2 linked regions of the Alligator mississippiensis genome follow. The protein of the gene in region 2 purifies or fractionates together with the protein of the main gene of each other region. This does not show direct contact. Links are inferred from orthologs where the notes say so. Each region holds a gene or a part of one and is shown on either strand. Other genes may lie near its edges.

The links.
Region 1: the proteins of PTPN1 (region 2) and ABCD3 purify together in Homo sapiens (affinity purification with mass spectrometry; 3 studies listed by BioGRID and IntAct, with this or other methods). This does not show direct contact. The link is inferred for Alligator mississippiensis from reciprocal best matches to the Homo sapiens genes PTPN1 and ABCD3.

The regions. Positions count from the first base shown.
Region 1 is NC_081828.1:34,235,736-34,246,408, reverse strand, and holds the start of ABCD3 (ATP-binding cassette sub-family D member 3), read right to left. Parts: upstream 4,793-10,673; 5' UTR 4,739-4,792; coding exon 4,620-4,738; intron 1-4,619. UniProt on the Homo sapiens protein: Broad substrate specificity ATP-dependent transporter of the ATP-binding cassette (ABC) family that catalyzes the transport of long-chain fatty acids (LCFA)-CoA, dicarboxylic acids-CoA, long-branched-chain fatty acids-CoA and bile acids from the cytosol to the peroxisome lumen for beta-oxydation.
Region 2 is NC_081832.1:12,948,938-12,959,761, forward strand, and holds the start of PTPN1 (tyrosine-protein phosphatase non-receptor type 1), read right to left. Parts: upstream 5,653-10,824; 5' UTR 5,637-5,652; coding exon 5,490-5,636; intron 1-5,489. UniProt on the Homo sapiens protein: Tyrosine-protein phosphatase which acts as a regulator of endoplasmic reticulum unfolded protein response. Mediates dephosphorylation of EIF2AK3/PERK; inactivating the protein kinase activity of EIF2AK3/PERK.

The sequences.
Region 1 (10,673 bases), on a different chromosome or scaffold from region 2:
AGCCAATTTTGCAGGCAGATCCTTGAGCCGGCCACCATTTTTGTGGGCTGAGTGCTGCGGGGCCCCCCACACCTCTGGTTGGCTGAGAGGCCCCAGAAGTCCCACCCCTCCCTGCAGACTGCTACATGCTCTGAACCAGTGGCTTAATTACCCCACTAAGCCTAGGGAAGCCATTAATCCACATGTTATTAAGCATCAATTAATGACTTCCTGGGCTTAATCAGGGTAATTAAGCTGTGGTTTCAAGCCATCCCCAAGGAACGGGCTCCCCATTTCTGGTGGGGTTACTGCAAAAAAAATAAAGTAAACTTACCAGCAAGCAGAGAAAAGCATGTTGGAAGCCCTGCAGTCTTGGGTGGGGGGAGGTAGAGGCGGAGGGCAGGGGGGAGGGAAAGGGGGGGGCAGGCAGGACTGCTTCAGCCCCTCCACCTCTCCCACCCCCTCCCCCAGACCTCCCCCCTCTGCCTTCCCCTCTCCCCAAACCCCAAGACTGCAGAGTTTCCCATACACTTTTCTCTGCTTGCTGGTAGGTTGGGGTGGGGGGGTTATTTATTTATTTATTTTTTTTGCAAGTCCACAAAAGCGCAGCATCTGTGCTTTTTTCGCAGAGCCCACCCAAAATTACAGTTTCCGCGAAAATAGCACAATTGGAATTTTGGTAGGTCCCTAGTTATAGCGTAACAAAAGATCCTGCTTAAATATAACATGAATATGTACTCAACTGAACTACAGAAGTAGATGCATCAGTTCTACTTCTTCCACATCAGGACTGTATTATTTGTATAGTTATTAATTTATGTTTATTTCTTAAAACAAAAACCAAAACCTATTCTAAAACATGTATTCTCCTACTTTGCTCTATGAGAAAATTTTAGAGATATCAACCTTACTTCTTAATTTTATCTGATATGAGAGAAATCCTTGGGTACGTTTTAATTTCAAGTTTTTAAGTCTTTCATTACTGGGTGCCACAGAAGAATGGAACTCTTTGCTTTTAAATGTTGACACATATTTTAAAGTCATTTACATAAAGGAAAGCAACTATTTTTAGCTGGCAGACTAAAAAATATATTGTATAACTCAAGTGCCCATAAATGACAAAATGCTTAAGTTTTATATCATCAGTCATCAGGTTTTCAGACACATGAAATGATTAAACCAACTCAACTGGAATTACATAAAACTGATCTTTGCCCTACTAAGAAAATGTATATATTATTACACTAACTTAATTACTCTTACATTGCCACTGAGTCACACTGTGCCTTGCCCTTAAGCCCAAATACATAAGAAATGTGGGTGAGAGTTGACAAAACAAACAACATTCCTGCAACTGCCTAGTACCGGAATCCAAGACAACTTTGAATTTAAGACAACCTCCAATAATTAGTTTCTATGCATGGGAAAATTATGTTTGTTATAATTTTCCATGTATAGATTCTAATTGTTGAAGAGTCATTTAAAATTCATTTTAAATTCAAATTTAGCAATTACCTACCTGGTGCCTGCTCCCCCTGCCACTTGCTCCCCTTGCTTTCACTTACCCTGCAGTAGCTTCAGCTGTCCCCAGGCCCTGCCCAGATAGCAGTGGCACTGGCAGCAGCAGCTCCAGCCCTGGCCAGGTCAGGACCAGAGCCACTGCAGCTCCCCTGTGCCACATACCACATTCTTCCCCATAGTCACCCCCTGACATCTTCCCTATGTGGTCCCCTCCATTCCTCTAGTCTCCTCCTGCACTCCTGCCCATGGTCTCCTTTGCATCCCCTAACCCCATACCACACCACACAGTCTCCCCAGCTCCCCCCATCTTGCACTGTGCTGTCTCCTAAACTGCCCCCCTCCAACTCTGAGCAGACTCCCCAGCATCTTTCCTCCCTGCACTCCCCACCACTGTGTGGTCTTCCCCATGCCCCCCCACTGCACAAGCCACCTCAACCTGATATAAGTATATCAGGGGTGTGCATCTGGATCTGGGAGAATATCTGTCCACCTGGGCACCAAGGAAAGACGAGGTCCAATGGTCACAAATTGCTGGAAGACAAGTTTTTGCTTATGCCCAATCTAAAATACTTTACGTCTGAGTCTCCAGAGTCTGAAACAGACTCCCTCCAGAAGCGGTGCAAGCATCTGACCCCAAATGACTTCCTGCCCTTTGCGCAGGGGGCTGGACTCAATGATCTCATGAAGTCCCTTCCAGCCTTAATGTCTATGAAATCTATGAAACCCACTCTGGCCCCAGCAAGGCAGCAGCTCCAACCATGGCCCTCAAATACAATACAAGACCCATCTCCCCACATTAAATGGGGAAAAATCTTCATCTTGGATTTGAGTAAATATAGTATATAATAAAGTTAGAGTGGGCACTATGAAATTATGTTCCAATAATGCTTCAAATAATTCTTTAATATTTCTTCAAGCTTCATATCATACTATTCCTAAAACACGGCCTAGGCCAGATATATGATACAATCTCTGGTCAGGGAAGTGAGGAAGTGGGGTTTGTGACCAAAGCTGTGTTGGCAAAAATGGACAGCATTGATGCGTTTCTATTGTACATTTTATTTTAATACACTGGAAAGAGCAGGGTAGGGTATGAAAAAAGTGCCAAGAAAAGGGCAGATTTATTGGTATAAGTCACACCCACAATAAAAGTGTTTTGCTGGTACAGTAACTGGTATAACTATCCCACTGAATCGACCCCAGTATGAGCCTGTCCTCACACTTCATGTTGTTCCCCAAACAGAATGTTGAAACCAGACCTTTTCAAAGGGTAAAATTCACTTTTACCTGCAGAGAGACAATGTAATCAAGCAATCAAGTAATTAGGAGAAGGAAACAGGCCAGACTACAAGGTGAAGGGTAGCCATTGCTCCTTACTCAGATTCTATACACTGTGACCCACTGCCCCTTCTAGATAAGACCTGTTCACAACCTGCAAAGAGCTTTCTTCCTGACAAGCTGTGATAAGAAATTCTCTAGCCCAAGGCTCAGCAACATTTTCTGGCAGCAGGCTAGAATCACCCAGCTCGGATCCAAAGCTAGGATCCTGCTGCTACCACAACTTCTCCCCCGGCCACTTTTTTGCCACTTAGCTGCAGTGTAGCACAGGCAGAGTCCCTGCTCCACTGAATGCCAGTGAGTTCCCAGTCCATGAGCTTTGTGGGTTGACAACCCCTGATCTAGCCCATCTGCTTGCTCTACTCCCCAGAACCCACATCCTGCAGAAGAGCACCACAAGATTTAGATGGTACACAGGGCTTTGGATGATTTGTATCACTATTAACATGGTAAACCCATGTGTATTTCATTATGACAAGCAAGCCCCAACTGAACAGAATAAAAAAAAGAAAAAACTTGATAAAAGGACTACCCCTGCTCCAAGTATAGCTACATTAACGATATGATTCAGCAAATTAGTATAACATAGGCTGATGGGGTGGAGGGAGGATGAGGCAACACTAATAAGAGGATATGTACGTAGGCTAGTGATGCAAGAACTGTTGTTCACCATCTGCCAGGCTTTTAACAGGTAGGGTACTCTAAGTTTCATAGCCAGCGGCTGATAAAATGCTGCAGGGAAGAAACAGCCACCAATGAAGGAAGGTGACAAACTGACAAGCAATGAAGACTGCTTTGGCAGAAGCAGCGTGTAAAATGGATTTGAGGAAGGCAAGGATCCAAAAAATGAGATTACAGTAGCCACGATGCAAGAAAAAACTGGACATGGAGAAAGGGCTAGATGAGGGTCAGATTATTTTGATTCAAAATTGCTTTTGAATGATCTAAAAACTGCCTTTTAAAGCAAGAACTCTCTCCTTTCCTCACCCAACCACATATGCCATTCTACTCAACATTTAAGAGCAGCTCCTGGGACTGTCCAGGGGCCCACAGGACCAAAAAAGACCACTGCTCATCTGTGTCATGCCCTTCACTGGCCGCACGCACCGGGGATTGGTGCCTGAGTGCCCGATCTTCTAGCATACAGGGCCATGCTATCTGGCCCACGGAAGTGCTGCACAGGCCTGGAAATTTGGCAGCAGGGGAGCAGCAAACTTTCCCCATCACCAAATTTTCAAACTTGTGGGCAGCCCCACAGGCCAAAAAAAGAGGCTCTGGGAGCTGGGTCTGGCCCACAGGCTGAGCAACCCCCCGTCTAGAGCGAGTAACCTCCAATTAAAAAATGTACTGTTGAGATTAAACTGCCTGGCTGTTATTTTCTTCAATTCAGCCAAGCGCCCCAAAAGCCACACAATGGGTACACGCAGGCTCTTGTCCTGACTGCTTTCACGCAAACCAGCGCCCACATCTTGAGGTGCTGTTCAGCCCCGGGGACCTGTTCCTGCTCGTTGTTCCTGCTCACTGCTTTTCTTAGCTTATCGTTTGGGCAGCAAAAACGGGGGGGGGGGGGCGGGAGGTGGGAAGAGGCCGAGCTCCATCCTCCCCGATGTGTCCCGGGGGTTTAAGACCACCCCCCGGCCCGCAGGGGCGAGGGCCGCGCTGCCCAGCACTGCCGCGCCTGCAGCACTTCCCCCTGGGGCACTGCGGGCAGCGCCGGGGGCAGGGCAGGGCCCGGGATGGGGCCGGGGTCCAGGCGCTGCCCGCCCCGCGCGAGCGCTCACCCGTGCTGCGCAGCCTCCTGGCGCCGCTTGTTGAGGAGGCAGAGCAGGGCGCAGGCGGCCGCGGTAGCGCCGGCCATGGTGGAGTAGCGCACGGTCAGGTACTTGCTGTAGGCCGCCATGCTGGAGCGCCGCACAGCCGGCTCGCCGAGCCGAGCCGAGCCGAGCCGAGGCGGGCGGCGCGCGGGGGATGCCGGGAGCCGCCCGGCGATTGCGACAGCAGCGCCCGCCCCCGGGCCCGGGGCCAGGGGAGGGCCGGGCCGGGCCGGGCCGGGCGGCGGGAAGCCTCGGACAACAGACGGCGCCTCGGGGAGAGCTGTCACCTGTCACCAAGGTGAAGGTTGTCCCTCACCCGAGGGCTGGTCCTGCTCACAGGCCTGCAGCGCCCTGGTACAAGGTGGGGATTAAAAGCTTTTTCAGCATTTTGCTGCAAGTTTGTTAAGTGATGCTCTGACTTGTGAGGAGGAGGGGACTTTTCATCCAGTCCCACATGACGTGCTCACAGGTGACCTGGAGAAACGCAGACCCGATAACATGACGCTGAGGTGGAGAGGTGACTGGTCCTGTACCCGCCAGCGAAGGGCAAGGCCGAATGGGCAAGGGTCGGACCGGGAGGTGTCCCACAGCGGTCCGGGGTCCTCTGCTAGCGAGCGATGCCCGAGCAAAGAGCTTCCTGATCAAGCTGGCAGATGACACCGCACTGGGAAGGACTGGGAACACAGTGGAGGATAGGAGTAGCGTTCAGACGGCTCTTGATAGCTTGGGCTGGAGACAACAGAAGGAAGTTCAGTGCAGACAGACGTAAGATGCTGCAGCTGGGGAAGAATGATTAAATAAACAATGGGAGATAACTAGGTGGGTGGCAGCCTTCCCAGTCTTGCTAGGAAGAATCTAGGGCAATGATTTTCAGCCTTTTTAAGACTTGAGGTGCCCCTTGGAGAATGCCAGCTCTTAGTTTTCACTTGTTTTTTTTACTACAAATAAAAAAACAGAGCAATTTGTTTGTTGCAAAGAAGCCAGAAAGACCACAACAGGCCTGAATGGTTTTGACACTGTGGATTCGTATTTGGAACCTGAGTTTACCTTGTGACTCCTGCGTGCATATCCAACCATGCTAATATCGTGTGGCACTCTGGCTACGAATCACTGATACAGAAGTTTTGATGGATCACAGACTCGAGTCATCAACGTGGCACAATTACAAAATTTTGTACCATATCAACAGGAGTATTAAGTGTAAGACATGAGAGGTAGGAGTACCACTCTACCTGGTATTGGTTATATCAGAATACTGTGTTCAGTCCACATTTTAAGAAGAATATGGAGAAGTTAGGGTTTCAGAGGCAGGTGACAAAAATGATAAAGGGGTTAGGAGGCAGGCCATATGGGGAAAGCTTAGAGAAAAGGAGATTAAGTGGGGACTTGATAGCAATCTTCAAATATTTGAAAGGCTGCCATAAAAAAGTGAAAATGACTGTTCACCCTTGCCCCAGAGGACAGGACACAAATCAATAGCTTTAAATTGCAGCAAAGTAGATTCAGATTAGATATCAGGAAAAATTTCCTCATTGTTAGAATACTAAGGCAGTGCAATAGACTGCACAGGGGTACTGGACAACGGGGATACAAGCACTGATCAGGAATAGCCTCGGAGTAGCATTCTGGCATTTGTACAGGGGTCCAGACAGATTAACCCTTGAGGTCCCTTCCAACCCTATAATTCTATGACATACCCGAAGCGGATACCATCAGAGTATCAGCTAACTAGTTAGTTGAAGAAATGGTTTGTGTGGACACAGTTGCAGCAGTGTAGATGTGCTTTATAACTCTATAACTACTTTCTTATAGAAAAGAGAAAAACTCTACCAGTGTATCAGGTCTACATGAGAAAAGTTTTGCTTGTATCACTATACTAGCAAATACTCTTAGTATAGATGCAGTTATGCTATCAAAAAGTGTTTTGCTGGTGGAGGTTATGTCAATCTGAAAACCAAAAAAAGTGATACCAGCAAAAGCAGTTACTGCACTACAGCTATTTACTGGTTGTGAAATATCGCCAAACTCAAATTCCTTGCCAACATTTTTAAGCTGGCAATGCTTTCAGTGTACCTATATAACTTAGACCACAGTAGAACTTTCACTGGTATAATTATTTCAAAGTGGGAAAGGAAATTGCATCCTCTCACCAAAATAGTTACAGTAGTGTAGAACAGGCCCTTGCTAGGATCCAGTGAGGATGTGGTGGTGTAATTGCATTCACTTCCAGCTGTTATACATGAACTCTCAGTGTGGAGTGTGCCGAGACCTCCTGCTTTCATGTGGCTTCAGGGCCCAGAGTGTAAGTGCTACTGCCCACCTCTCTACCCTGCTGCTGAAATCAGAGGGGAGGGTAAGAGAAAGGAAAGGCTAACAGCAGTAGCAGTCCCCCAGGCTCCAGAGCCCTACAAAAATGGTGACTCTGGCCAGACCCTGTCCTCACTGGTTATATGGGGCTCCAGTAGGCACTCATACTGACCAGGCAGTGAGCTCAGAACTCATTGCACAGGCCATGGCACTGCCAAATTAGGTGACTGCATTCTCCCTTGGCCCCTTCTTGAATATGCTTCTGCTAGAATTGGCTTATCAACTTTTCTTGGGGAGAGAGGGGGAGTGTTCATATGCAGACTTACTTTGAAATAGCTGCATGGCTTTCAGTTCACACCTTTGCAAGTCAGCATGTAGACTAACCCTCAGACAGATAACCCTGGAAAGCCTCACTACAGAATTTGCCCTGAGTAGATGAACCAGTTGCTCTATTCTAGTTGCAGCATACACACACTTGCCCTTTACTTTTAGAAAAATCTACTCAATTCCCTTCCCCAGCTGGCATACTATAGGAATTTGCACTGGATGCAAAAGAAAGTACTAGGAAGAGGTAAAAGCAATCACATGCCCAAGAGTGCTTCCATTGTTTCCATTCCCCCAGTTTTCTAGGCTTCTCTGTCATTCTTCAGTATGAATGATATAGTGCATCTGCCTTTTGCTTCTCTTGCATTATCAGGCACCATACACTCTCTTGGGAAATTTAAGATGACCCAGTCCCTAGAGTTTCAGAGCATCGTTATTATATAAAATTAAAGTTGACAGAGAGAGAGGGCATACATTTTTTAGATTATTTCTAGAGTATTGGATTCTGAGTATTAGATTCATGTCCTTTCCCCCCACCCCAACTTTATATGTGACTTTAGGTAAGTCAGAAAACTCACAATGATTCAGTGTTTACATATGTTAAATTAAGATCACAGACGTGCTTTGAGGAATAAATAGAGTTGGAGTGTTGTTATAGCCATAACTAGCAAATTGCCTCTCATGAATGATGGGGAGGGAGCAGGCAGGGATGGAGCGCTGCAGCCACTCTGCCTCCGGCCCTGTGGCCCCCCCCACCCCCTGTGTCCCCCATCCTCTGCTCCTGTTTGTCTGCTGGAGTGGGGCGTGGCCGCCCCTTGGATGTGGCGGCAAGGCTGGAGCAGAGAGCCGAGGCCAGTGCTGCACTGCCAGCACCCTGCGCTGCCGCCGCCTCCAAGGAGCAGGGCCAGGGGGCAGACCAGCACTACTGGCCTCACCCCCCTACTTCGGCCCCTCAGTTTCTGCCAGCATGGTGACGCTGTGCCGTGTGTGTCTGTCTGTGCAGAGCACTCTGATCGGTTGTTTTAGTCAGCATTGTGATTGGCTGCCGAGACAACCAGTCAGAGCATGAATAAAGCATAATGGACAGACAGACAGACAGACAGACACACTAAGGTTTTTTATTATATTAGAATGAAAATGCTGGAGAAGCAAGGATTTTTTGTGATATTTTTTATTGGACCAAGTGTATACAGTAGTTGGGAGAGCTGAAGAACAGCCCTTGATGCCCAAAAGCTTGTCCACCAGCTCTCCCAACTGTAGAGGTGGTCCAATAAAAGATATCACAAAAAATGCTTGCTCTAAGATCCTCAGAAGAAAAATGCGACAGATATGCAAAATATTGTTAGTAAATTCATGCGCATCAAGGTTTTATTCTCTTTTGCTGAGTAGACCACATGCATTACTTACACATTTATACTTAGACCTCATAGCAACAGATACATTTTGTAGGAACATAAATAAGGGCAGTTCCATCATTTTAAGTCAAATAATTTGCATCATTTAAATTGTGAAAAAAGGAGTGCTGTTCTGATTCCAAGGGTTCACTGAAGCTTTACAAGTAAACTGCTGCTGCTTTTCATCTCAGGTCATCTTTGCAGACATACAGAGTGTAGTGTCACCTTTCATTCCTTTCCAGGCTTGTTTATCCAGTAAGTCCAGCTTGGCCATGGTCCCCTGTGCCCCAGTATCTAACCGTCTAGTTGGCTGCCAGCCTCTAGGGCAGACTGACCATGGCTGTGTTTGCATGATTTTCTTTGGCATTCTGTCATCTGTTTGTCTTCTGCAATAACCCAACTATTATGGTCTTCTGAGGCATAACTACTAGGGCCTGTGCCCTCGGGAGCAGCAGTGGCAGGGCCAGTTGGGACAGAGATTGTGTCCATGGCCTCCATTTCCTTTAGTGGTGTCTGTTTCCCTAAATGCACTTGCTTCCAGTCCACAAAGTAATTTTGTCAGTATATTAATCTGATGCATTTGCACTTTGATACCAAACAGAATGTTTCTGTCAGTCTATAATTATAGTAAATTCTGTGTAGTCTTGTCACTCAGACAGATCCTTGATGAAACTGAGTCTTGATCAAGTATTTTATGTATGCATAAAAATCTACTTTTTCTATGCCTACTACCACTTCAGTATTTCATCTATTGTCCTTTTTTTCCTAGATGCAAACACTGCATTTTTGGGTGTTTATTCTAAGTGACTTGTCCTGATTTTCTAAGGTGGTATCATAATTAATTTTCTAATGGTATCATCATTAATTCAAGTTATATGCATAAGAAGCTTAACTCTAGATTATCCAATACCACAATCTCTATCTTATCTAACATGCTTTATGTGCAGTTCACGATCATAAGATTACATGCCCCCTTGTTTTACACAAGCCTTGCCTTGAAACAATTTCATAATTTTCCAGCAATTCAGGAGTCTTTCCAGTGATTTTACAGCATTTCAGGAGTCTTTATATACACAGGTAGTTTTATATCACTGTTCTCTTACCTGAAATGAGGAATGACTACTAGTTTCTACTGTCAGTTCACCAGCAGCTATTTTTACTTTGTATGTCAGTGGCCTGATTCTATTTCCATACAACTTTACATTTATGGATATTGTTTCCATACCTTATTTTTTTGATGCTTTGTTTTTTTAGTCTCTTTTCCCCCAAACCTTTGCTTGTCCAATCTTTATGATTTCTTCACTTATTTACATAATACTTTTACTGTTCCTGCTTTCCCAGAAGTAGACTGGTTTACATCTTTCTTACAGTGCTGTTTTGCTATTTGTCCTCCTTTTCTTAGTTTGCTTACACTTTCCAACAAGTTTTTCTGCTGGATTTTGTATCACTTCTTTGAATATTTCCTATCCCATCCACGGAAATTAGGTTCCTGAATATCTTTGAGTTGTGGTATGTTAGATCAGGATTGTTAGCTCCATGTAAGTAATGCTTTATACAATTCCAGTCAAGACAAATCTACTTTAGTACATGCTAAATTAGTACAAATAATCTTTAAAATGAAAGTTTTATCCTTTTCTCTAAGTCTTACCCTAAGCTGGAGGGAGCTTCATAGAATATGGCTGCCAAACTCTAACAAGTATCTACTGTGCATATATAAAGTGAAAATTTTGGGGGCTATACACTGGATAAACCTGGGTGAATTTTCAAATGAACAGCAAAAGGAATGTTTCAGACAGCAGAATAACTGTCATGCAGAATTTAAAAGTTTCTTCTCTGGGGTTATCAATGAAATGGTTATAAGCACATTTATTAGCACAAACAAATCAAAGTATCTTTTTCTTAATTTCATGCTCTAGAATTACTAAATCTTCCCTGCCCCCACCCACAAAAAACAAACTTGAAGCAACAATGCATTACAGGGGAATTTAGACCAAAT
Region 2 (10,824 bases):
CCAAAAGAATTGCCCGCCCCTGAGTCAGAGGGATCTTAAGGTTAACAAGACCCAAACCCAACTGTGATTATATGTCAGTTTCTAGAAAAGGGACATGGCCAGACTAATTTTACTGGTTAAGCTATCCTACTTCGTTAAATACAAGATGCATCAAGTCTTCTCACCGAGTTATTTACTATTTTTTTCTTTAAACTTAGTTACAATGTGATCTATATGGTGCATAAGAACTTTCCTCCCAGTGCCTCACACAAATTTAAGACCCAAGCCATTTTGAAAAGAAACATTTGGCTTTAAAAAAAAAGGGCATCTGACCTTCAAAGGAACACGATATGTTAGCTTCCAGTGGGTCAGGATGTACCAGTGTCACTGTTCCCTGACTACATATACAGGTATGAGGTTCCAGGAGTTTAGCACCACTTAATTGTTGCAGTGTCCAACTAACAGCACAGCACTTAATCAAAGACTGTAACCTGTACAAATGCCAAGACAGGGTAGATGGAACCAACACAATGAGCAATAATACTGGACAGTGGCTCATAGATTTGGAAGTTGATATCTGACACCATGTGAAAGAGAGCTGAAAATTCAGGTTTGAAGTTACTGTTATTAGTTACTGTTATTCACTAATCCACTAATATTGGTACAGGACCAGGCAGATGAAACAGTTAACAGTTCAGCTGACACGCACTCCCCAGCAGCCATTCTCTCACCTTTTAGAACAGTATATTGTTTGTTAGATCTTTCCACAACCAGAGAGTAGCAATGTAATTCTGTTTCCAGTACAAGCATTTCCAGACCCATATTTGAAAGGCCACACTAGTATCAATTTCTTTTTAGCTAGCAGTCGCTAGAAAACCATGACTGAGAAACAGAATCACATAGGTATAAGTGCTGTACTTACATGAACTATTTTTCAATTAGAAGTTCTCATTTTTAAATGATTAAATCTGTAGTGCTTTCTATTATGAACTTCTCCTCATTTTGTATAAATCCATGTTCCAGCTTTCCCTAAAGAAATTTCTATCAAAAACAACACTAATCCAAGAGAGCAGTATATCACTTTGTCAAGTATAATACAAGACTTGCTTTGTTTTAGTGTTAAATGACAGTTAGAGGATGATTAGCCACATTCCTTTTTTTCTACACTGTAATTATAACTTTCTTATATAATAAATCTGCCTACATCCAAGTATTCTTTTAGACACACCTGCTAAATTTAGCAAGTAAAGCCTTTCACAATATACGTATAATCACATGCATTTTGAAGAGCTACTCCTCTTACAGCACTCCTATTGAAAGTTTTGTCTTTCCTATTCTTGGACAACTTTGATGATTCACTATCCATTTGTCGCTAGGGCCAAGACTCCCCTTTCTACCTCCTCTTCCCTCCCTAACAGCAAGCCTAAAACTTTGTTTTTCTTGGCTTCAGGCAACTGCTCTTTGTCGCAACATCTTCACACAGCGAATTCCTTCCATTCCTATTGATATTTTTAAAGATATTTACGTACTGAACGTGTCACGCACCCACCCCTAAGCCACTTATTTTCCAAATTGCATAGTTTTGAAACAGGATCATATTGCAAAGCTCATGTTTAAATATGATGCCTAACCTTGCCCCTAGTTTCAATTTGCTAGGGAAATGGAACATTTTAAAAGAGGACTCTAGTATGAATGCATTGTGCAAGACGCACTCAAAAATAAATAAGTAAAAATAGAAATAAATACATCTGGTTTAAAATTCACTTTATTCTGCACTGTTTTCTATACTGCCATAGGCAGTATAGAGAACCAGATGGGGGTTCTTATTGGCATTCTTCTCAACATTTCATGCCCCCGTTTTTATGGAAAATAAACTTGGTTTTAGGGGGTTTATTTGGAAGTCAGGCTTGTCAAGTGCTTCACTAACATTTATCTCATTTTTGACCAGCTATAATGGCAAATACGCAGTTCAGTGCCCTTCCTTACAGGCTGCAAGACAGACAAAATATCTAGGGGGACACATGATGCACTTCATTTTGGAAAGAATGAGTCTCCCTTTTGTGGCTGGTCTTTATGCTATACTTCTTTCCTCAAAGTCTCCTCCACTGCAGTTTTGTATTCCTAGCAAGATATAATTCCCTAACTTCCCCTTCTCAAACCGCCCCCCTCCCAAAAAAAAGCCCCACATACCTCCCTATCCTACACACACACACACACACACACATTACTGCTGCCCAAGTCACACCACAGTCAAACAGTCTCAAAGGCCACAAATCTTCTTGTAGTCACTTCCCAGCTACCAGTAACATTCACAGTCCCTACCCTATGGTTAATGCAGTCCAGTATCATATATCTGGCTAAGAAAATAAGCGATTCATTTAGTTAGATTGCTGTGGTGCTTTATTCAGGACATGAAGTAATAAGATCTACATCCTACTCTTGGCCATTGAGTATTACCTCTCCAGCATTTGTGTCACAATTTCCTAGATTCTAAGGCTAAAGATCTGCTAGGTCAAGTGAAAACCATGAGTGGAAATGCAAAGCTGTCCCTCCTGATCAGCACAACTACACATCTAATCACATACTGCTATAGTGCATCAGTCCTGGCATGAAGAATACTACATGCAAAAAAGATGCATTTCTAACATTGAAGTCAAGAAAGTCAGGTCCCCATCTGAAAGGAGAGCGGGGGGAGTATAAGGTGCTAGTCAACTGAAATTGGAAAACATGTCCAGGTACTGATAGCCACCATCTAGAAGTAAGTAGGAATCCTACATTAGACTTAACAAAAACCCCCTCAAAGATTCCTTGATAAAGGCAAATATATTCCTTAATCAAAAGGGCTTGAAACAAATCTCCTTGCATTCTTCCGGTTGAATCCCCAACTCAGAAGCCTTACCTCAGCTCTTTGCAGCCTAGTTCTCACCCAAACTGGAATCTATGCTACATTTTGAGCAATCCATCAAGACATGTTGTCCCAAGGAGATGGGATGAAAACAAATCTGGATATTGCCCACAGACTGCAGCCCATCATTCTCCACCAACTGTCCAAAAAACATCCTCTTACATACATTAGAAGTGGAGGTGACAAGACACTCCTACAGGCGAGCACTCAGCAATTGCCAAATACAGGTTTCCCTTGCTTTATGCTGCAAGTGTTCCCAGAAAACAGTGCATAACTCTAATTTGCATAAAGAGAACCCACTTTACAATGTAACAAATAGGGATACCTTCCAAGTCCTCCACTATACTGACCCCCAGATCCATTTCTACCATTTTTACAAGACCATTTTAGTACTCACCAACAGCAAACAGTATACACAAGCACAGGGATGACAGCTACAGAAATACGTGTTGCAGACAACGAGTGAGAAGCACATACCCACACAGACTATATTTTGGTGCACATCACTCCCACAATGCACCGCACAAAGCAGCTGACTGCGGGCCTCCACCACACTGAGATTAAGAGTGAGTTCACAGTGCATATAACAAACTTTTGGTACAAGAAGAGTCATCACTTAAGAGTGAATTCACACATACAGAACCTGCATAAAGTGAGGGAAACCTGTACTGTACTCTAAGATCTTCCAGAAGGGAATGAAAGTGACCTCCCCAAAACTCACCTTCAAGTGCATTAAGGTTTGCAATCACATCATCTCTACTTCACGGCAACGGTATTGAGAGCAATGACTGAGCCAGAGCATGGACATCTAGCCTTCACCCAGCCAGGAAGACCAAAGGCCAAACAACTACAGGATCTCTGTAGCATCCCTCAACTAGAAGAGACAGATGCTGAAGAACTCAATGCACTGCTGGATCTTTGGTGAGAAGTGACAGCAGTCACCTGTATCCTTCCCACAGATACTCAGACATCAGTGGTATTATGAGCATTCCCATCCCAGACAACATGTCCCTAATCTGACCTGAAGGAATCACTTGGCAAAGCCTGACTAATTCAATTCCACAAGAAACAAGCCTTCAGCTCCTCAAGACTGGCAGCAAAGGTGCCAATTAGCATTTTAAAAGAACACCTGTACTGGAAAATAATTTAGCCTCTGTGAAATGAATTGGTAACTGGCAATCAGGGATGAACTACCAACACACACTGAGTTTGTGCTACCAGCTAGAAGACAGCAATAAAAATGCAAGGAACCCCCCCTCCCCCCCAAAAACCCCAAAACAAAACAAAAAAAATCTATGGACAAGATTTATTTTTTTATTTTTACAGGATTGCTCATACTGCCCAACCCAAGTAACTGCCCCAAAATGCAGCAGAGGTCTTCCAACAGGCAAAGATCTTATGCAATTTACGTGCTGCAAGAACTTCAGTTTGATGATGCAAGTCAAGACTGCAACATTAGGCATGACTGAATTTCTGTGCCTCTGCTGGCAAGATTTACAACCTTCACATTACAACAGCTTTTTTTACAGTAATACATTACTCAAAATCATTTCCTGAGCACTGGGCCTGCAACATACCAAGAACCGATTAGCAAAATCGTAACATCAGACGCATGTGACTTTCAACCGATAGCAAGTCTGCAACTAATGAACACTCAGACCGGGAGCGCACCTTCTGAAAAGGAAATCCAGAAACATGCAGTCATTATTAAGTTTCTACATTTGTGAAGCAAACTGCTTTCCTCAAGCAGCTCAAGATGGTCGTTTACAGATTTCCCCGCTCGTTGCGTACGGCAGCTCCGAAGCAGAAATCCGACCGTGCCGCTTGCGTGCAACTCGGCTTTCCAAAACTCCCAGGGCCAAAGCACACACCAAGTGCAGACGCTGCCTCAGCCTCAGTACGTGCACCCAAAAGCTTGCACAAAGAATTTCTCCAACTATTTGAGTTGGTCTAATAAAAGAGATCAGATTTACCCAAAGAACCTTGTCAGTCCATGCCCTTAGACCAGCGTTTCCCAACTTTTCCCAGCCCAAGGTGCACTTACATGAATAAAATTTTTTTTTCTGCGGCACACCTGTTAAGGCATCCCCCATCCACGCACCTACTGTAGAGCTCGCTGCCACCGCGGCACGCCCGTTCGTTTCTGACCGCACGCTTTTGTGCCGTGGCACCCTGGACACTGCCTTGGACCAACACGGCTACCGCCTACACCCCAGAGCAGAACTCATCCCGTGTGAACGGGCAGCAGAGCCCGGCTCCACGCCTCGATCTCCCTGCATCTCGCGGGGCTGTCGATACCCATTAGAAAAGGACTCAGAAGACATCACTTCAGAAGGGAGAACACGGAGGCTGAGGAGGAGCTCGGCCAGCAACCCCCCCGCCCACCAGCACCAAGCAGCAAACCCCACCGCTCACGGGCAAGAAGGGATGCCCAGCCCGCCGCGGGGTCAGCCCGGGGAAGCCGCCACAGGCTAGCATGGCCACAGCCGCGAATGCACCCAGCTGCCTCGGGCAGGCACCAGGCCTCGGCCTCCCCCTGCGGCCACCGGGGCGGGGAGGGGCCCGCCGGGGATGGGATGCCCGAGAGCTGAGCCCGGCGGCGCACCTGGTAGATGGCGAGCCAGCTGGCGGCCTGGTCCAGGCGGCGGAACTCCTTCTCCACCTCCATGCTAGGCGCGCTCCGCGCCCGGCCCCCGCCGGCCACCGCGCGCTGCTCCCGGGGCTGTGGCTCCAGCTGCTCGCGGCTCTGCATGTCACCCCCTCCCCCCGCCGGAACTACGCCACCAGACCGGCCCACGCACTTCCGGCCCGGCCCCCGAGCGGCGCGGGGAAGCCCCGCCCCGTCGCCGAAGCCCCGCCCCGCGTTCCGTTAGCTCTCGGGGCGGGGGGAGGGAGGAGCTGTGCGCTGAGGGCTGGTCCCGCGACTCCAGCAGCTGGAGCTTCGCACGAGACCCCGGGGCTCCAGCCCCTACAAGCAGAGGGGCTGCTGAGAAGCGGTTGTGCTGGGTAGTTTCAGGCTGGAGGGATAGGGAAAGCTGCCTGGACCCTCTCAGCCCTGCTTGGCATTGCCCCTTCTCTGAGGCAGCAGTGCAGGCCTGCTGCCCTCATGCTGGAGGCCCTTGGGGCAGAGGTTCTTCATCTTCTCGAGCAGTGCTTCTCCATCATGTTTTGCGGATGCGAGGCAGCCTGGGGAAGAGGCGAGGTGCCCCCGGGAAACGGCAGTGCTTCCTTTTCGCTTGATTTGCGACGATGGGGAAGATCACAGGGTGGCTCTTGTGTTGCCGAGTGCCGCGACCTGTGCAGAGCTGTGGTGAGGGAGCAGCTGCACGAGGTGTCCCAGAGATTTCTTTGCCTGAAACACCGAGTGGGCACCCTGTTAACCTGGTCTTCGTGGGAATGGGTCTTTTCCAGTTTTTTGATTTCCCCCAAAATCTACAGGCTTGTGCCCATTGATGCTTCCAACGCTCCCAGGTATTTTTGGATTGATGACATGCAGTTTTCAAAAGCTATCCTATTACATCTAAAAAGAAGGAGGAATTGAATGTGGGTACTAAATGATCTGTATAACTTGTCACACTTGGCAGCTCTGGCCCGAAGCAGCCAGATCAGGGTCATATGTCCCTCTTCGTGGACTGTCTTTTTCTAGGGCAAGAGAGACAGATAAGGTGGCTGAGTGCTGCCCCTCTAACTGCAGAGGAGTACCCTTATCTTAGGCCTAGGTAACTAGTATTCAAAATGGCTGAGTCCCTGAATCCCAGCCTCCAGGAATTGCCCCATCTTCAAATCAATTCTAGACTTAAAACCTCACTGTGGCATCTCCGTGGGACATTTTGATGAGGAACTCCTAGGACATCGTCAGCATCACTTTCATAATGCGTAAATCTTTCTCTAGTGAGACAGTCTCCCCAGGGTCACTGCCCTTATTCCATATGGCCCTTTCCAAGGTCAGTCCATTCAGGCACTGGCAGTTTAGTCAATTATAATAGTTTATAGCTCTCTAGCACTTTTCATCCTGAAGGATCCCATATGCTCCACAAATGATATACATCTGGCTCTACTGAGATGCAATGAACCCTGGGCAGTAGCTTTTAACAGTACACAGCATTGCTAACACAGCAATTTAAAACAGAAAAGGAAAAAATGTTGCACCATTTAAAATCTTGGGAGTAAATTTTAAGTACGTAGGATCTAATCAGCCCTTCTCTTATGAAATGTGTTATGGGATCTAAAAACACAGGAGGTCAGGGTATTTGTTTCATATTTGAAAGTCATCACCTCTAGTAGCAGAATGCCACCTAGCAAGGGGTCAGTAGTCAATTTTGGTAATTCCTAGATCTAAGCCGAGCTTTTAATACCCTTAGGACCTGCAAAACCTAATTTTAAAAGGGCTAGTTTTTAGTTGGAATGAACAAAGGCAATTTGAATACAGAAGAAAAGAAAAACAAGGACCTTTTAAATTTGTTTAAACTCACTGGATTGATAAGTGTCTACCATTTTAGACATACATATTTGCAACTGTGCTTACAATAGTCCAGATTTCAAGATGACCTAGTTTTAAACAGCCAGTGTAATAAATCCCCATGAAAACGCCTGTAAATAAAATACATGGTGTTCCTGCACTTAGACATTGTGAATGCAAGTCTATAATTACATTTAACTAACAAGTAACAGTTCCACCAGACAGGATCTCCATTTACAATTGGAAAGGTTGTCACTCACATTCAACGCACTTCATACTATCACATTGCACATAATTGTTCCATTATTCCATATTAACATCTCTATTTTATTTAACAGAGGGATAGTCTTATGTTAAACAAGGCTGATACTTTACTGGCAGCTTCTGATATGCCCTTTGGGTGTTGAGCCTGAGGCAATTCGTGTCCTTATTTTCCTGCTTACTGTTAGTGGTATGGTAAGTTAGGCATTCAGAGTGTTTACTGTGAAGAGATAACACAGTTCAAACTAAATGCCCTTCCCCCCCTCTAATTCTACTTCTCCCCCCGACCCGCTTCAGCAATATCAGTTTGTAAAAAGAGGCTTTTATGGTAAATGTGGGAACTGCATATTACCATAAAACTCATATCATGATGGGAAAGACCACCAGACCCTGGGAGTAGAGAGAGTCCAGAATTTCTCAGCACCTTTTTAGGATCAGGAATAGAATTCAATACAAATAGGCATTCATGCCTCAGTGTTTACATAATAATGTGTAGGTATACGCCCCTATGATTTTGGTGTTAATTAACAGGTAGCTTTTCTCCTCTCTGAAAAAAGAAACCTGCGAAGAATTTCCAGCCCCAGCATTCCTGACTACTGGTTTTTAGCTCTGGTTTTAAAGAAACAGAACTTACATACTTATAGTCTTTCTGCTCTTTTTCTATGTAGATAAGCCTGTTTAACAAATTATAGATGTGGACATGCCATATGTGCAGATGTGGACATGTTCTGGAATTGAGGAGGGTTTCAGCTTCATTTATCTGTATTATCAAGTCCCAGAATCCTTTTCAATAATATTAAGATGCTTCTCAAGAAGATTATCTTCCTTCACTAAGAATTCACAGATAGTATCTGTACACACACACAAGATCTAGGTGAGTCTCAACCAGGAAGGATTTTAGGATGCAACCATGCCCATTGGCTATATCTGTACTGCCTTGATGGTCTCTTCATCCAGGTTTATTATTACTATGTACCTGGCTTAAGCACGGGGCAGTTCCAAGCTATATTCTGACAAGCAACACCCCTGAGCCTTGTATTCTTTAAGCAGGCAAAGAGTTACCTTGTAGATAGTGTTGTTCTCTATGAATCTGGTGACTGACAACAGGGGGTTACCCTACAAGTCTGAGGATCCAGCATGGGGTTTTTATTGTAGAACTCCCTATACTGCAGAGGCCTGGAAGTAAAATGTCTAAAGTCACTTCATATCTTACCAGCTTGACATTCAGAGCTAACCACCAGCTGTATTCCCCAGACAGAACCCATGATGGGGTAGAATCAGCTGACCAAATGTCATATGACTGCTTCCTAGGGGAATGTGCGGAAAGGAGTAAGAAAAGATTTTTTGTAGAAGCTGGTGTAAATATACTCCAGAGTGGGAGGTATGGTCTCTCTTCTCAGTTTATGGAAGAGTGAGTCTTTGCCTTTTTGTTGCTGTTTTGAAGTACTTCTATTCTCTGTTTACTAATCATTTGTTTTGAGGAAAGGAGATGGAGCTGAACTTGAGAGAGTAGGCTTTGACTAGGTTGGCTGGTGAATCTGTCCTCTGGTTAACAATGCTCATTAATATTTCTATGACTTGGTGGTGGTGGAACAAATAAGGAACAGGTTTTCTACAAAGCCAGAGAAATAGTCTGTGAGTAGAGAGGAGCATGTTCCTCTCCTCCTGCTGTGTGCTCCACTCTCCATTTGGTCACTCCATATGGCTAAGCCCCTGTGGTAGTGGTTTAAGCTGCCTTTTTGGCACTTTAAGGGCCTGTCTATGTGTACATTAAGGTGCTTTTTCTAATGCATATTAAATTTAGTACCTCCAGTGTGAGGTACTAAAGAAATGTGCATTAGGCTGCCTAAATGCTCAGTAATGAAAGTATTTGCATAATCACGGTTTTCATGTGATGCTTTAATGCACAGTAAAATTGGCTACTGCACATTAAAGTGCATGTGTAGATGTTCCCTGAGAGACCTTTTGGATATATTCTTCTTCTATGACTAAAACTTTAAGCTGACTCCTACAGGTAAACAGATCAGTATCTGTAACTATATAGAAATCACAAGTCGGATGTAGGATGCTGACAAGCCATTGGGCCGACCTTAGTTTTTTTTGCAAAGCTTAGATATAATTTGCAGCCATTACCTGCATCAGGGTCTAGTTAAGCAGTCCAATTTTTGTGGCAAGGCTGGCAGGCAACTTGCAACAGCACCATATAGGATTAGATAACATCCCAGATATTACAAATAGCTATTAAAAAAGGATCAAACAAAGGGAAAGAAAGGGTCTAAATGTGAATAAGCAAATCAGATGTAAGTTTCTTTTACTGGGCTGGCAGCAGCAATGAACTGTATGTTAATGTTAACTTTGCTGATGAAATCATTCTAACAAAAGCCTTGGGGGACGTCACTGGTCACGGAGCACCATAGTGACTCACTGCCATTGACCACTACTCTCTGGGTCCGACCTCGGAGCCAATTTCCCAGCCATCGGACTGTGGTGTAGCCAGGGCCACAGTTGGCCAATTTTTCCATGAGGAGGTCATGGGACACCAGATCAAAGGCTTTTTTAAAATCCAGGTATATGACATCAATCACTTCTCCCTTGTCCAAGTGATACGGCACCTGGTCATAGAAGGAGATGACATTGGTCAGGCAAGGCCTACCCATGACAAACCCATGCTGGCTATCCCTCCCATCTTGGTATGGGTTCTATTCTGCATGTAAGCACAGTTCTGAGCATTGGGTGCATAACACCTGGAATAGTTCTGGGAAGTTCTGTACTTTAAAGGCACCACTCTGAATTACAATGGCTCCCTTAGTTTCTCCTTGCTCTGGGAAGAACCCTATACCTGCAGCAGAAATTACCATGTGTTTTTTCTTACCTGCATCAGTTCAGCAGTAGAAACCCTTGTAGTTTGGATGGGGTTAGGCAGAGGCAGGGGGCCAGTTCTTCCTTCTTTGCTTGGAGTGGTGGAATGAAGACTCATACAATATCCCCCAAGCCTGCATATTGGAATTCTCTGCTTGGTAATCCATGCAGTGATTTAATGGAGAGCTCTTATTCCTATATGAATAACAGTGATAATAGTATGTGAAGAACTGGTGATTATCTGCCTCTCATTGTTGGTGACAGTGATTTCACTGTTAAGAATGACTGCCTCTCTAAATGCCATTTGGTCAACATTTAAGATTTGATTTAGGTGTCATAGTAGTTTTCTGGGATTAACATG